Linked DNA regions of Oryctolagus cuniculus. The protein of the gene in region 1 interacts with the protein of each later gene in a biochemical or structural test. Links are inferred from orthologs where the notes say so. Each region holds a gene or a part of one and is shown on either strand. Other genes may lie near its edges. The genes, in order: MAGI3 and ADRB1.

The links.
Region 2: the proteins of MAGI3 (region 1) and ADRB1 interact in a test that uses a peptide from one of them, tested with the Homo sapiens proteins (2 studies listed by IntAct, with this or other methods). The link is inferred for Oryctolagus cuniculus from reciprocal best matches to the Homo sapiens genes MAGI3 and ADRB1.

Annotation. Positions count from the first base shown.
Region 1 is NC_091438.1:56,685,746-56,689,552, reverse strand, and holds part of MAGI3 (membrane-associated guanylate kinase, WW and PDZ domain-containing protein 3), read left to right. Parts: intron 1-3,063; exon of another isoform or gene 3,064-3,356; coding exon 3,357-3,495; intron 3,496-3,807.
Region 2 is NC_091446.1:16,246,350-16,250,745, forward strand, and holds the start of ADRB1 (beta-1 adrenergic receptor), read right to left. Parts: upstream 3,053-4,396; 5' UTR 2,790-3,052; intron 2,714-2,789; 5' UTR 2,526-2,713; intron 2,102-2,525; 5' UTR 2,020-2,101; coding exon 454-2,019; 3' UTR 1-453. UniProt on the Homo sapiens protein: Beta-adrenergic receptors mediate the catecholamine-induced activation of adenylate cyclase through the action of G proteins. This receptor binds epinephrine and norepinephrine with approximately equal affinity.

The DNA.
Region 1 (3,807 bases):
TTAATATTCAACAAAAAGCAGTCAGATCTAGAAAACAGTGAGAGTCTACCCTCCTGAAGGCAGCACGCTTCCAACTACAGTCTCTGCAGTGGCATTACCCCCACCTGCAGAGTTAAAACTGGAGCTCAGGGATACTGAATCTCCTGTGAGTGCCGCTGTGGGACCAGCGCTGTGGTCCTCTAGCACAGCCCGTGGGCTCCATCTGGATTTGTTGTTACATGTAGTTTCTTAACAGGCTGTAGCATAATGTAAGCCTTGTGTTGTAATTCCAATATGTTTTTAGTGAGAAAAGAGATTCTTTTTTGCTAGCCCTTCTTCCTACTTTTCTTCTTCTATTTCATTTTTTCTCCTTTCATTTCTCTTCTTTACTCTTTGTTCCCCCACAATTTTAAATTATAAAAAATAGAACCTGAATGTTTATTTTTCTATCTATCAAAAGTTGTTCCTTTTTATTACATCTTCAAATAACACCATTTTAAAATATAGTTTACTCTTAGAGGTGCCTTTTTTTTTTTTAAGATTTATTCATTTATTTGAAAGTCAGAGTTACACAGAGAAGGAGAGGCAGAGACAGATCTTCCCTCCGCTAGTTCACTCCCCAACTGGCCGCAGCTGCACTGATCCGAAGCTAGAAGCCAGGAGCTTCCTCCAGGTCTCCCACATGGGTGCAGGGGCCCAAGGACTTGGGTCATCTTCCATTGCTTTCCCAGGCCACAGCAGAGAGCTGGATAGGAAGTGGAGCAGCCAGGTGTCGAATCGGTGCCCATATGGGATGACGGCCCTGAAGGCGGTGGCTTTACCTGCTACACCACAGCACCGGCCCCAGAGGTGCCTTTTTTTATCTTTTAGTTTTCTGTAGCTTCCCCTCCTCTGAGGGCCTGCCACCAGAAATCTGAAAGCCCTCTTTTCCCACCAATTTAATTTTAAACAAAAATGACACCTGGTGGCAAATCTACTCAATTACAAGTTGTATTTACAGTTTATTATACTAAGAATAAAGTGTACAGATTTGGAGAGTTAAGTCAAATGTGATTGAAATTAATTAGAATTTCAACCATGTTTTATAGGATAAACCTGAAGCATGCCCCAGTTATTACCTTCTTTAATTGACATTTAATTACCTGCAGGATTGTATGTCTAATACTGATTTCTCCTCTGTATCTCTTCTTCACAATTTTTTCACTACTTAAACAAGAGAAATCTATATACTGACTTTTGTTTCATGCATATATTCTCAATAGTAAGGGGTTTTTTTAATTAATTATCTTTAGTGCTTCTCTCCATCCTGTTTTTATTATTGTCTTTAAAAAAATTAACTGAATACCAGACACTGGGTAATTTATAAAGAAAACAAATTTATTTCCCACAGTCTGACAGCTGGGAAGTCCTAGGTTGAGAGGCCACATCTGGTGAGGGCCATCCTGATAACAGGACTGTGCACAGTCCTGAGCCCTGTGGGGCGTCACGTGGCAAGACCAAGCATGGGTGACCCAGGGAGTCTGGTAACAAAGCTACTCCCTCACTATGCCATTCAGCCACTTGTCCATGAATAGATGAATGAGGGCAGAGCCCTCACAATGCAAGCCCCCCCCCAAAAAATTCCCCCTCCAGTAAGTCATATGACTTTGGGGATTAATGCCAACACATACATTCCAGGGACAAACATTCAAATCCTAGCAATATGAAATCCATCTTTTTTCTGATTACATATCCTCCAGTTCTTTAAGAGTAAGACTCATCTTTTTTTATATATAAATATGCAGGACACTTTATGTTCTATTTCACAATTTATTTGAAATTTTTTGCATTGTAAAGAATAGGGTGTAGTCTATAGTTAAATCTTCCTACCAGTGCGCTTTAATATACTTGAAAACTAACATTTGTGCTTGGTGTACAATCCTGTTTCATCTCATTAAATCCTTCCAAGAACCCCAGGAGTCGGTACAGAAACCCTCACTTAGTAACTGAGGAAAACGAGACCACACAGCCAGCAAGCAGAGCCAGGACGTGAGCCTCAGCCACAGCGCTGGGCTGTATGTGGACTGGGTGTAGATACTGACCTTTGAGAAGTAATTATCAGTTCCCCTTCTGCTGTTACTTATGGGTTATTTTAGTAAGCTCCCATAAAGATTTACAATTTTGCTTTTGGAGATTTTACCAATATCGCATGGTTTAGTTCTGTTTTGAAGCCAATAGTCTTCTGTTGGCCTGTCTTCTTGAAATCAATTTAAAATTATTATTATTTTTTTTTTTTTGATAGGCAGAGTGGACAGTGAGAGAGAGAGAGAGAAAGGTCTTCCTTTTGCTGTTGGTTCACCCTCCAATGGCCGCCACGCCTGGCGCACTACAGCCGGCGCACCGCGCTGATCCGAAGGCAGGAGCCAGGTGCTTATCCTGGTTTCCCATGGGGTGCAGGGCCCAAGCACTTGGGCCATCCTCCACTGCACTCCCTGGCCACAGCAGAGAGCTGGCCTGGAAGAGGGGCAACCGGGACAGAATCTGGTGCCCCGACCAGGACTAGAACCCGGTGTGCCGGCGCCGCAAGGTGGAGGATTAGCCTAGTGAGCCGCGGCGCCAGCCTAAAATCATTATTTTTAATCAGGTTCTTTGCAAAAGTTATACTTGACTTTTCCATATTTGTCCTTTTTCTTTTAAAATAACAACAGACATTTCTGCAAACACAAACAGTACTGAAGTACCTTACTCTGATCCCTAGCTTTATGTTGGAAATGATTTTACACTGAAGTCTTTAAATGTAAGGCAGTTACTGGCTTCAAGTAAGTGTTTATATTAATCTCTAAGCTTAATTTTTTAGGCTTTTAATCTATAAATGTCATTTGTCTAATGCCTCATACACGTACAGGACATAATGGCAATACCCAGGCGCGGGCAGTTCTCCCAGGAAGGACTTCAAAGATGAGGCACCACCTGCCCAGGTTTTAAGGAATAAATTCAAGATTCAGCTCAAGTTTGAAAGTCCCCTTCACAGACTGATCATCCACATAGCGACCTGTGGGATCATTTGGATTGGGGTAGAAACTTACCTCCTGTTCCACTGCTTACCTTTTGGTGCCAAGTGTAGAATTTGGTTCTTGGATTGAAGATGCCTATATCCTGACTTAGCAGCCATATAAAACTTATCCATGTGCGATTTGTATCGAGAAAGTAAAACTGGACATTGTCTCTTCCTGTGGTTGTGCACTCCTCAGCCCTAGTGTGATTGTGCTGTGATCACATTAAATATTTAACAAATGAGAGAGTCACTTAGCAAGGTCACATGGCTGTGGAGCTGACAGAAGCAGAAAAGAAGAAGAGTGCAGAGTTTCATGTTGTTCCCGGGAATGTTCCCTGTCTAGGTTGGTGACCAGATTGTTGAAATCAATGGGGAGCCCACACAAGGCATCACACATACTCGAGCAATTGAGCTCATTCAGGCTGGTGGAAATAAAGTTCTTCTTCTCTTGAGGCCAGGAGCTGGCTTGATACCTGACCACGGTAAGTAACGTAGTTCGCTGGTAGCTTCAAAGTTGTATGTTAGGGAAGGGCAGCAGAAGGAAAAGGAATTTCTATTTGGAGGATAGCTTTTTTTTTTTTAACTAGCTAATTCAGAGGTGAACACCAGAACCACCAGAATCTAGTTGGATAACCGTGTACAAGTGAATTCAAGTATTCAATTTGTTGGAATGGAGTCCACTTTAAGTTGATTTCATCAGAAAACACAGATGGCTTTTGCGGAGAAATGTGCCTGTAAAATGGCAGGGCCCAGGAGGCAGCCATGTAGACGTCCTGCAGAACACTGCATGGCTC
Region 2 (4,396 bases), on another chromosome or scaffold:
CCTCCCTCTCTGGTTGACTGCGCGAGTTCCCAGCAGCGGGATAGAAGCCAAGCGGGTATTTTCATCTCTTGCTGCTTCTTCCTTCCCCTCCCTCGACCCACCCCACCTGCACTCCAGTCCCCGTCGCAGAAAGTGTCAAAAACCACCTGGAAAGAAAGAAAGAAAGAAAAATTCCCCAGAGGCATCACACGCACGCACCCGAGGCCCAACCACAGACAGAAAACGCACGCAGAAAACTGGGCAAGCCACTCTCCCACCCGTTCCCCAAACATTCCTTCCTGGGCAAAGGCCCCACGGCCTTTCTGTCTGCCCTGGACAATGCGGTCACCCGCCGTTGGTAAACACCCATCTCCTCTCCCCTCCACCCGCACCCCGCGGTTCCCCGGCGAGCTCTCCTGCTCCTCCTCCCCGGGCGCAGGGCGCGCGTCCCGGACGCGGGGGGCGCGCCGGGCCCTACACCTTGGACTCGGAGTTGAAGCCCGGGCGGCACGGCTCGTCCAGGCTCGAGTCGCTGTCCGCCGTCGCCGCCGCCGCCGCCGCCGCCGCCCCACCATTGCAGCCTGCCCAGGGATCCAACAGGCGCGCGGGTGGCGTGGCCCCGACGTCGTCGTCCTCCTCGTCCGAGGCTGCCCCGGGCGACGGTGGCGGTCCGGCGCGCGCGAGGCAGCCCGAGGCGCGCGGCCGGGCGTGGGGGTTCGCATGGCACCCGCGGGCGGCCCGGCGCGCGCAGCAGAGCAGGCGCTGGAAGGCCTTGCGGAAGTCGGGGCTGCGGCAGTAGATGATGGGGTTGAAGGCCGAGTTGGCGTAGCCGAGCCAGTTGAAGAAGACGAAGAGGCGGTCGGGCACCAGGTCGCGGTGGAAGGCCTTCACCACGTTGGCCAGGAAGAACGGTAGCCAGCAGAGCGTGAACACGCCCATGATGATGCCCAGCGTCTTGAGCGCTTTCTGCTCGCGCAGGGCCACGAGGCGCGACGGCCGCCGCTTGCTGTGGCGCCCGTTGGCCAGCGCGGCCGCGGAGCCGGAGCCGGGGCTGGAGCCGGGGTCCGGGCGCGGGGGCCCTGGCTCGGGCGCGGGGCCGCTGAGGAAGCGGCGCTCACAGCTGTCGATCTTCTTCACCTGCTTCTGCGCCTCTCGGAACACCCGCAGGTACACGAAGGCCATGACGCACAGCGGCACGTAGAAGGAGACCACGGACGAGGCGATGGCGTACGCCCGGTTGGTGACAAAGTCGCAGCACTTGGGGTCGTTGTAGCAGCGGCGCGCCTCGTCGCCCTCGGCCCGCCACCAGTGCATGAGGATGGGCAGGAAGGACACGAGCGCCGAGATGGCCCACACGGTGCACACGAGGGCCCGCGCCCGCGCGCGCGTCAGCAGGCTCTGGTAGCGGAAGGGCGACGTGATGGCGAGGTAGCGGTCTAGGGCAATGACACACAGGGTCTCGATGCTGGCCGTCACACAGAGCACGTCCACCGAGGTCCAGAGCTCGCAGAAGAAGGAGCCATACTCCCAGCGGCCCCACACCACGATGGTGGCCCCGAAGGGCACCACCAGCAGCCCCATGACCAGGTCGGCGCTGGCCAGGGACATGATGAACAGGTTGGTGAGCGTCTGCAGCCGCGGTGTCTTCGCTATGGCCACGATCACCAGCACGTTGCCCGCCACGATGAGCAGCACCACGAGCGCCATAAGCAGGCCCATGCCAGCCGTCCACTGCTGCGACAGCAGCGCGGGGCCCTCGCTGGCGGGAGGCAACAGCGAGGCGGGCGGCGACGCGGGCACCAGCAGCCGCGCCGCCGTGGCCGCGCCGTCGGGCAGTGGCGCGGCGGACGACAGGTTGCAGGGCTCGGAGGCGCCCAGGGCGAGCGCCCCCGCGCTCATCCCGAGCTGCGGAGGCCGGGGGCGGGGGGTGTGGCGGAGCTGGGCCGTGGCTGGGGAGCCCTCCGAGAGGCCGTGCCGGCGGGGCGCGCTGTCGGAGGTCGCGGCCAGGTCAGGGCAGCTGCGGCGCGGAGCCCGAGGCATCGGCTCCGGGCGCCCTCCCCGCAGCCGCCGAGCGCTGTCGCCGCCGCCGCCGCCGCCGCTGCTGCTGGGGCCGCTGCCGCTGCTGGCAGAGCCGCCGGGACCTCAGCATGTTTCTGAGCGCGCGGGGCCCGCGGCCCCGGCACCCAGCACCCACCCCCCGTTCCCACCTCCCGAGCCGGCCCCCGGGGCCTGGCGTCAGGCTCCTGCAGCCAATCGGGGCGAGGGCACGCCCCCTTCTCTGCCTCCCCACTCCCTGCTACCCCGACTCCCCGCACCCCCTCCTACCGGCGATTGAGCGGCTCGGGGGAGTCGGGGCAGAGCGTCCAGCCAGCGCCTCTCGGGCGCCCGCGGGTTCCGCCGAGCGCTCCCTTTCCTGCGCCCGCCCGCTCCAGCGCCCCGTTCCCCTGCGCCGCCTAGGGCGCCCGGCTCCCGGCCGCGTCCCCGCCCCCTCCCGCGCTCGGCTCCCTCCCGCTGCCCCGCTCTGCCCACCCCCGCATCCCCTCTACCTCCGTTGTCCGGATTCCCCGCAGCACTGGGCGCCGGCTCCCTTAGGGGGCGGCGAACGTTGACATCCTCACGGCTCCTGGGCGCCTCGAGCGGTCTTGTCCGCCAGGGTTGGAGGAGATTGGTTCTTGGGTGTGTAGAGTCCTTCCTCCGCCAAGGGGGCACCGGGCCAACCTGCGTCGCGCCAGCCCTGCGAGATCGGAGGTGGGTGTTAGCAGGGAGAGGAAACTTGGCAGCACAGCGCGTTGCGGGAGCAAACCGCGCACCTGTCTCTGCGCGGGTGCGGCGCTTGCGAGGAAGCGTCTGTTGTACTTCGGGTGCAGGAGATGTAGCAGGGGCGAAGGCTGCTGCATCCAGCAGCCAACGCGGAGGCTGAGCTGGAAAAACACACACTTCCTAGCCCCTGCGCGTGATGCAACAGTGTGTGTCCACGCCGTGAGGGGAGAGGCTAGGGAAACACGCATGTTAACGCGCACGCAGACAGACCACCTCCACTGACGCTTTAGGCTTCCCACATTCAGTCACAACACCTGCATTTTGTGAGTTATTGCACGCAGGTTTTTATACTCAGGGCAGTGTGGATTGCAGACTCTGAGGCACTGACAGTTTTGGTTGAAGCAATGAACTGGGATTTTGGATTTTTTGGTCTGGGTGGCGGTTTGTTCCTTTACCCAAGTTCCCAGATTCTTGCAACTCTGGGGTTAGTTTTGAAGGGATGAGAGAGAGAGAGAAAAAAACCATAAATCCTCAAGGGGATTAAAACCCCAAAGCATTTAAAGTTATACCAGTGGTTTCTGAGTTGGCAAATGGGTTCATTTAAGGGTTAGAGGGTTGTTAACCTAGTTGTAGGTGGATTATATGGAGGAGAGGGGGAATGGTGGGGCCAGGAGCACACAGGGCAGAGGGAAGCAAGCCCTTTCTCTAATTTGGCCCTGGTAAGGAACTTAGCTCAGGCCTGAAAATAAACAAAAAACCTTTAATTAGATCCTTGTGAAGTAAACAGCTCCCGATCATCATGAACGTGTTATATAACGCTCACACATCTTTACGGCGTTAGAATAAAAAGAACAGCATCTAGAAAGAGCATCCACCACGGCCCAAAACCGTGCTCCTACCTTGCCAGAGAGAGGCGAACAAAAAGGAATGCTTGTTACGTGTGCAGACGTCAGACCGTTTGCACCAGCTTCTTGAGACTAGAGAAATGCAAACACATGAATTTGCTTTAGGCCTAAGCATGATCATCGAAGCATTCCTACAACCCGGGAGTGATTAATTTGTTTATTCACCCCTGCCCTGGACTCAGCCCAGTTTTGCCAACTTGGGGAGGTTGATGTGGGGGAGTCAGGAAGAGAGGAGCTGGAAAGAGGGAGGAAGGAGACCGGGCCCTTAGTGACTCCACTCCTTGCAAGTCCTCCCTTTGGCCCGGTGAGAGGGGGAGCTAAGGGGTGGTATTAAAATAGCCAAGGGATTGGGTGGAGTGGAAATTGATGCTGCCCAGGAAAGGGCTCTGAGTGCTGGGTGGGGTGCAGGGAGTGTGGGGAAAGCTGCTGTCTACCCGGCGCAATCCTCCTGCCAAGTGCTGCTACTGGAATAGAGTGTGTCAACCTCAAGTGCCCGCACAGGGCCAGGGCGCAGGGCGCAACACGGCGAGAAGGCCTGACTGTGGGTGCAGGGGCTGGCGCAGAAGCCGGGTGCAGGTGACTTCACTGTGTGGTTACTTGCACGAACGTCCTGGGCATCAGCATGGCCGGAAACCTCTCTCCTGGCTCTCTCCCCTACTCATTCAGAGACACCACAAATACGTACATGGAATTATAGACACCGAAAGCAAAGGGTATTCTAACAGGGGCTGCTTCGCAGGGATGCAAGTAAA